2 linked regions of the Kluyveromyces lactis genome follow. The protein of the gene in region 1 purifies or fractionates together with the protein of each later gene. This does not show direct contact. Links are inferred from orthologs where the notes say so. Each region holds a gene or a part of one and is shown in the gene's direction. Other genes may lie near its edges.

Region 1 (4,601 bases):
GCGAAACAATCTTCGGAAACTCATTCAAGTGACGATGGGAGGTTTCATTCTATTTTAAACAAGGGGAGAAATAGTGTGAATAGTAAGAAAAACTCTTGGGCTACCCTTGAACAAAGAAAAAAACAACAATGGTTACCAAGACTACGAAGACTTTTATTGCAAAGTCAATATCTACCTTTGTCGTTGAGATTTCTCATTGTGATACTCTGCATAATCTCTCTTGGCCTAGCAAGTAGAATATACCAGAACTCGGATTCCACTGTCGAATCCTTCGAATCATCAATACCTCAACAACCAAGTACTATCATGGCGCTATGTGTTAATTCCATCGCTATATTATATTTGGTTTATATCGGATATGACGAATTTTCAGGGAAACCGCTAGGAATTAGAGATCCTATGACTAAAGTCAGACTAATTATGCTGGACCTTTTATTCATCATATTTTCAAGTGCTAATTTATCGCTTACCTTCAATACATTATATGATAATCGATGGGTCTGCACATCTACTGGAACGTCACAAGTTGATCCTCCGCACGTAGGATATATATGTGACAAACAAAGGGCGCTCGCGGCGTTCCTTTTCTTGGTCTTGGTCACTTGGGTTGTAACGTTCAGTATTAGCATATTAAGGGTCGTGGAAAGAGTCAGTTCTGGTGCTCCAAGACCCTAAGACTATTCTTGAAACGGGCCCTTCCGACTTAAGACGCCTGTAGATTAATTGTTTTAAATAAATCATTATTCCATGAGAGTACATAATTTGTTTACAAACCCAACAAAAGAAAATCAAAAGTACCAAAGAAAACCTTATAAACATATAAGTTTGGGCCCTGTATTAAACAACATAATTAGACGACTGCAGTATGCTAAAGTATATTTGCCGAAAGCTGTAATCCTTACCCTCTTTTAAGTACTTTAATAATAAGATCAGATTCATATTGAGGAACAATTCAGGATTTTTTGATATTCCAATAATGTGTGGCAAACGAAAACAAAAATATAAGAAATTATAGTAACATAGTATGCAATTATATAAATCAGTATATAACAAGTAAGGCTGTCAAAAAGGGTCAAAATATCGAACAACTCGGAGATACTTCACGATAGAAGCAATATAAAGTTTTCCTGTGTGACCCTTTTTTATAGGATCCCGCCAACAAGTGGTGCATTTCATATTTAGCAGTGAAGGCGCTTTCTATTCTGTTTTATCCTTTCTTTCGATTCATTGAAAAGGGTTGCTCGACTAATTGGGACTCGAACTGTATTTTCTATCGCTGCTGATTTCAGTTTACTACCAAATCTTTATTTACAAGTACCGCTACCTGCGCCCTTGGGAATACTATTATTCTAAAGCGTATATTTAACTGGGTTAGTGGGAAGCAAGTCTCATTAACGCTTCAGAAAAGATAACTTAGGCATCGTTCAATAGAAATATTACTGGTAAAAGAAACTACACGTGCAATCAATAAGAAACAAGTCTAATAAGCTATGGCAGACACATTACCTAGATCAGATGATTTGGAAGCAACATGGAACTTTGTGAAGCCTGGGATCGACCAGATCTTGGATCGTGATGGTACATCGGATATAAAGACAAACAGAGTTCAGAAAGTTCTTTCCCCAAGGATGTACATGGAGGTATACACGGCGATTTATAATTACTGTGTCAACAAGTCACGTTCTACAGGTCATTTCCAATCTGATATTATAGGGAAGCAAATGAATCAATCTTCGATTCTTGTTGGAGGAGAAATCTATGAGAACTTAAAGAATTATTTGAAAGATTACATATCGAATTTAAAGAAAGATGATAATGTAACGTTTTTGAATTTCTACGTGAGACGCTGGGAAAGATTTACAATCGGAGCTATTTTCTTAAATCGGGTCTTCGACTATATGAACCGTTACTGGGTGCAAAAGGAAAGAAGCGATGGTAAAAGACACATTTTCGATGCACATACTTTGTGCTTGATGACGTGGAAAGAAGTTATGTTTGAAACACATAAGACGGAACTCGTTACTGAAATATTCGATCAATTGGATTTGCAGCGGAGGGGTGAATTAGTGAATAAATCTGCTATTACAATAGCAATAAAATCCTTTGTGATATTAGGTATCGATCCATCAGACTTAAAGAAGTTGAATTTGAATGTGTATATTCAAAACTTCGAACAGCCATTCCTACAGAAGACAAAAGAATACTACACGAAGATGTCCAACGAATTCTTAGACTCTCACAGTGTCTCTGAATACATCGAAAAGGCAAATGAATGCATAATCTTCGAAGAAAAGGACATGATTTTATATTTGGATTCCCATACATCGGCACCATTGTCTACAGCTTTGAACCAAGTTTTGATTGCTGATCATGCCGATAAGTTAAAAAAAGAGTTTATTTTACTTTTGGATAAGCAAGATCAAAGATTGATTAAGCTCATATACGAATTGATGAAACGCGATTACCGAATGTTACCAGATTTGGTGGATACTTTTGATATGTACATCAAGAGAGTCGGAAATGAAGAAATCGATAAATTAATTGATGCACATAATAAGAGTGCAGCACAAGATTCAAACGCTAAAAGGCAACCGGGATTATCACCTAGAGATTACTTGAAATGTTTAATAGGAGTTTACAAACTCTTTTACAATATCACCATAGAATGTTTTGAAAATCATCCTGCTTTTGCTAAGGCTTTAGACTATGGATGCCGTTGCTTCATTAACAATAACTCATTCGCTATTCCTCCTGGTTCACCTAAATTTGCGACTTCTAGAGCTCCTGAGATGTTGGCGAAATACAGTGACCAGTTGCTCAAAAAGTCGACCAAGAATAATGAACAGGTAGATTTGACCGTGGATGATATCATGACTGTCTTTAAGTTCTTGGCCGACAAGGATGCATTTGAGATGCATTACCGAAAAAATTTAGCAAAAAGATTAATTCATGGATCATCAAAATCAGAAGCTGATGAAGAAATCATTATCCAAAGACTACAGTCCGAGAACAGTCTTGAATACACCAGCAAGATTACCAAGATGCTACAAGATGTCAAATTATCTAAAAACTTGCATGATGAATTTTCCACGTTCATTTCACAAGATGGGAATAATACTACTAGCGCCGCAACTTTCAGAAGCAAAGTTCCTGAATTAGAACCTCTAATTCTTGCAGACAATGTATGGCCCTTCAGCTATCAACCAACAGAATTCGCATTACCACCAGTTCTTGAACATAGTAAGAACAAATTGGAAACCATGTATACTGACAAGCATTCTGGTAGAATATTGAAATGGCTATGGCCAATGTCTCGTGGTGAAATCAAGGCACATATTGGTAAACCAGGCAAACCACCATTCCAATTCACTGTGACTATTTTCCAAATGGCGATTCTTACCTTGTTTAATGATATATCTACGTTGACCTTTGAACAAATACAAGAGAGAACCAATTTGAAGGCTACACAGATTGCGTCTAATATGTATCCGTTTGTGAAGATGAAACTATTAATACAATCTCCAGAAGGGGTGGAAAGTATGATCAAGTTAGATACAAAGTACACCTTAAACAAACCCTATCGATTATCGAAAACTAGTGTTAATTTTGCAGCCGCTGTGAAAAATGATCTAACCTTTACTGCAACCGTTAATGGATCTGCATTAGATGAAACAGAGGCATCTGAGCAAAAGAAAGCAGAAAAGGAACTAAATCAACAAAGATTGATGTTCTTAAGAGCATGCATAGTGAGAATTATGAAGGCAAAGAGAAAACTACCACACAGTTCATTGATGAACGAGTGTATTGCCGAATCTCAACAGAGATTCAACGCCAAGGTGTCCATGATCAAAAAAGCTGTCGACAATCTAATAGAACAAGAGTATTTGAAAAGGACAGACGACGGTGAATGCTATGAATATCTAGCGTAAACGCTCACTTTTTTATCCACCTTTTACTTCGCCATACATATGTATAAGAAATGTATATGTATCAACATATATTTCGCAACCATTCGACCATTCGACCAAAGGTCAACCTTGGGCCCCATATTTTCAAGCATGAATATTCCCAAGAAAAAAAGAGAGACATCATGAAAGGACCGACGAGTATACTATTCATTACTCAATAGCCAAACCTAAATGCTTGGGTAGCCCTCTCTGCTCTCTTGCTGCTCTCACTACTCTCAGTGACTACCTTAGCATCATTCGGAAGGTGTTTGTCAATACCTGCTGCAAAAATCTACGTTCATCGGATTTAAAATCCACAGGAATATTCACGAAAATTGGTCATGATTAGACTTTAGCTCGAAATTGAGTGGGAATTTTACCATATTTCTTTTCATTGACCATATTTCAATTATGGGAAAGAAAAAATTCAGATTTCAGATGAGTCAAGCCATATCAAGGCAGTTTCGATGACATGAATGAGTCTGAAAAAAAAAAAAGGAACTGCTCTACATTTGATGGCAGGTGTTTCTTTGTCTAGTTTATATGCTCTCAGGTTCGACTGTTTTGTTTGTGTGATCGATTCTTGTTACAACTTAATAATATTTTTGTGATATTATTTTTTATTGGAGCTATATATTATACTATATATATATA
Region 2 (3,773 bases), on another chromosome or scaffold:
TACTTCTCCACTTTGGAAATCGATCCAACTCAAACAATCTTTGGATTCGATCCACTAATGGCAATTACTGCTGGTATGATCACATGTGCTGCTGTTGGTTGGTTATTGGGACCAATTGTGGGTACTGCATTGTTTAAGGCCACTTCCGGTCCCAAATTATTACAGTTTCAAGAGAAGCAACTTTCATTTTTGGCCAAAATCCAAAAGAACAGAGTCAATCCTCAATCACAATCTTTCAGTAACCCTGTGCCGGATTACTACGGTGAAAAGATTAATTCGATACCACAGTACAGACAATGGCTAAGAGATTGTCATTCTTACAAAAGAAAGGCTAGTGAGTTCTTGTGAAGCGGAAAAATACCAGAAAAAGTATGATGACTATCACTCTCCCACCCAAGGAAACGCCTTTCCGTAAGTACAAGTAAATAGTAAATAATAAATAGTGGTTGATATCTAAAGAAACATTCGTTAAATCAGCATTAGCAATTGCGTAATGGTATATGCCAGAGAAACCGGAATGAAAAGGATCGATACCCAACAAAAAAAAGTATATTTGGATGCGGCGAGGTTCGAACTCGCGCCTGTTAACATTAACAGACCTGCATATTCCGGGTAACCGTGTCCGTCACTCGCAATCCACTTCTGCTCTACCCGCACCCAATAGCCGCCAAGCAATCAGTGAAGATTTTCTGGAGGACCCACAAATTTTTGATTTTCGGACCAGGCCCCTTACAACTCGCACAAAACTGCGTAGAAAACCTCTGTTTAAAGGTTTAAGGAAACGGCTATCGCAATTTTCTTGGCCCCCCCAAAGGTAAAGCAGAATGTGTCAATTGGAAAGCGACGGAGACGGTTTTGATGCCGCATTGAGTCCGCATGCTCATTTCTTGTCCCTGAAGCAGGCGCCTTAACCACTCGGCCACACACCCAGTTCTTATACTGTTAGTAGTTCAACTAAATTGGGAGTAGTTCTTCATTTCAATTTATTATATTCCAGCGCAGTGTAGCCCCTTTATTAACTGGGTTAACTGGGTTTCTTCGATAATCTACCGGTTGAATATGGGTCTATTTACCCCAGTTATATACCATAAAATGGCTCTCTGGAAGTTCTTCTTCAAGGTACCCGGCTGTTCTGTCTGTTCTTTTCATTGATGTCGCGGGTTTGATTGAGGAAAGGAACGCATAACGGATTTCCGTACAATGTGATCTTCATTTCTACTCACGTGACTTTGATTTCAATTTCTTGGAATTCGAAACTTCACTTCCGTTCGTTCTTTGCCAGGAATTCATTACCCTTTAACATGCCTACCTTATGCTTGAATACAATAGCCCAGTCATTCGATTCTTATTGCCGGCTTCTACCATCAAAAACACTAAACTTCTTTCACTCTTGATGGCTGTATGCTGTATATTAGAGGAGCTTTATGTTACTAAGAGGAGAGATTGCTGTTTAAAGACGCCGTACAAATTGCTCTTTTGATTACTTATTATCCATGATTGATACATTCCCACTGGAATCACTTCCAGACGAGCTTTTAGCTGAAGTCATTACTCATGTACCGCAGCGAGATAGATTGAACCTATGTTTGGTGAATAAACGGGTTTCAAAACTAGCACTGCCGATTTTGTATCGGAGAATTTATTTGAACGATTCGAATGTAGTAGAGAGTGATATAGTCAACCTCGCTATCAACTGGACATACTTGTACATGCCCCCAAACGAGGCAGAGTGCTGGTCTCGTGGGTTGGCTAATGCGAAACTTGATCTTCTTATACGCACTTTATCTAGGAACAGTGAAAGGTTGAATTCCATTCAATGGATACGGATTAATTGGGATTTGGATAAAGAGAAGCAGGCAGAAGTTTTAAGGTTGCTATGTACGTACTCTAAATCCATTATACGATTGGAAAACGTTACGGACCCGGATTGTAACGATATTATTGCAAATGGAATCCAATCGCGTCATAATGTCACCAGTTTCGATAGTGCCCCACCTAATTCCATGCCCGAGGGAGAAGTTTCCAGAACGTATTTGCCTAATTTAGCTCAATATTTAAAGCAACGGATTTCTTCTAACTTGTCACACATGACTCTTTTCATGGATCCCATCCAGTTGTTCAATTGCATATACCCATTGCAATTTAAATTGCAAATCCATGACTTGAAACTACATTGGAGGAAAGAATATTATCCGCCCGATCAATTGAAACCGCTGAACCAATACCCGAAGCTTACTAAACTTTCAGATGTCTTCGATGTGAGAACTTTAAAGGTGTTAACAATCATATCATGGAATGAGAATTTGAATAAACGAGAATTGGAAATTTTGACTGAATTTTACGAGTTTACAGAAATTCGGGATTTATCTCTTATATCTATGAGACAAAATCCAGCCATACTCATCGAACTTTTCAAACGTTTGAAGAATTTGAAAAGGTTGAAGACAGATTTTTTGCATGAGTTCACTCCACATCCTGTTTCAACGGATGTATTCCTGTCCATTTTATTAAATTGTAGAGAGCTACAATTCCTAGATTTGAGATTCGAAAATATCGACAGGCAGATCATTTCTATCGAGGGGTCAAGGTTCAAATTCTTACATAACTGCCATTGTGATGATTGTAATCATGTGTTTCAGGATATACTATACGGTAAATTTTTCAATTCGTCGAAAGATATGGTGATCAGAGATTTAAGCGATTTGATCGCTAAGGATATATTCACAATGATGAAATACCTCTCTTTATTACCTTATTCAAAAGCATTTGACATATACCCTTCTGTTAGGACACAACCAATGAATCTCTCGGACTTCGTCACCAAGATTAATGAATACAATAGGCACTATAAATCCATGCATAGAAACTCAACCCCGATTGAACCCATCACAGAATCTGACGTCATCAAGTGCTATCATGCAATGGTTCATCACAATAAAAAGACATATACAACTATACTCTCAAATTTGAAAAGATTACGATATTTGGTTTTGAACGACGTACCTTGTATCGTTCTCGAGAGAGAAGGTGCCCGTGTTCCTGTTCCAGTTTTCTTTAATAATGGTTACAAATCGAATATGGGAAATTGTTAAATATTGTACTTTTCTATACAAGGAACAAGAGGGAAAGTACCAAGCCCAAAAAAATTATGGAAGAATGCTGTCCATCTTGGGGAGTTCACCTACATCCATCCCATAAAAGAGGTCAAAATCTGTTGAGTCAAAGACTTGTTGCAAAAATTGAGTGACATCTATTGCATCTGCCTTGGCCGAATGCCTCTCTTCTAATTTTTCAAGAGCGTGCTGATAACTTGATGAGAAGAGATTTGGTTCGTAGTTTTTACACATCATTTCAACTTTCAAATTAACTACTTTTTCAGTGAAACTGAATCTGGCATTCCAGACTTTTATTACATCGTCGTCTGACATTTCTGCGTCTTTACTGGTTATACCCAATTTTTCTAGAACTTGATGATTCTCATGTTTTAGAATCGTCAACATATGATCTAATGAATCCTCTCTATTGATCAAATTTAAAGTTAGTTTATATTTGAACAATCTTTTGAATACATGATAATAGTATGGGAATTCATTAAAGTACGTTGTCAATATTTTATCCATTAACTGTAGGATTTTTTGTTTGCAGGGGTTACGAGCTCTTAGTATTATTGCTGGCAAGAGAACTAGGGCTTTATTCATTGATATCTCTATGATTCTACTGGAATAAGACACAGGCGCTAATGGTCTAATGAAATGCTCATTCCATAGAGTAAT

The links.
Region 2: the proteins of CDC53 (region 1) and DAS1 purify together in Saccharomyces cerevisiae (affinity purification with mass spectrometry; 4 studies listed by BioGRID, with this or other methods). This does not show direct contact. The link is inferred for Kluyveromyces lactis from reciprocal best matches to the Saccharomyces cerevisiae genes CDC53 and DAS1.

Annotation. Positions count from the first base shown.
Region 1 is NC_006042.1:536,431-541,031, forward strand, and holds CDC53 (cullin CDC53), read left to right. Parts: upstream 1-1,490; coding exon 1,491-3,929; downstream 3,930-4,601. Other genes in the region: SRF1 (phospholipase D regulator), read left to right, coding at 1-675. UniProt on the Saccharomyces cerevisiae protein: Core component of multiple cullin-RING-based SCF (SKP1-CUL1-F-box) E3 ubiquitin-protein ligase complexes which mediate the ubiquitination and subsequent proteasomal degradation of target proteins.
Region 2 is NC_006037.1:558,715-562,487, reverse strand, and holds DAS1 (SCF ubiquitin ligase complex subunit DAS1), read left to right. Parts: upstream 1-1,493; coding exon 1,494-3,092; downstream 3,093-3,773. Other genes in the region: PAM17 (Pam17p), read left to right, coding at 1-348; OAF3 (Oaf3p), read right to left, coding at 3,147-3,773. UniProt on the Saccharomyces cerevisiae protein: Substrate recognition component of a SCF (SKP1-CUL1-F-box protein) E3 ubiquitin-protein ligase complex which mediates the ubiquitination and subsequent proteasomal degradation of target proteins. Probably recognizes and binds to phosphorylated target proteins.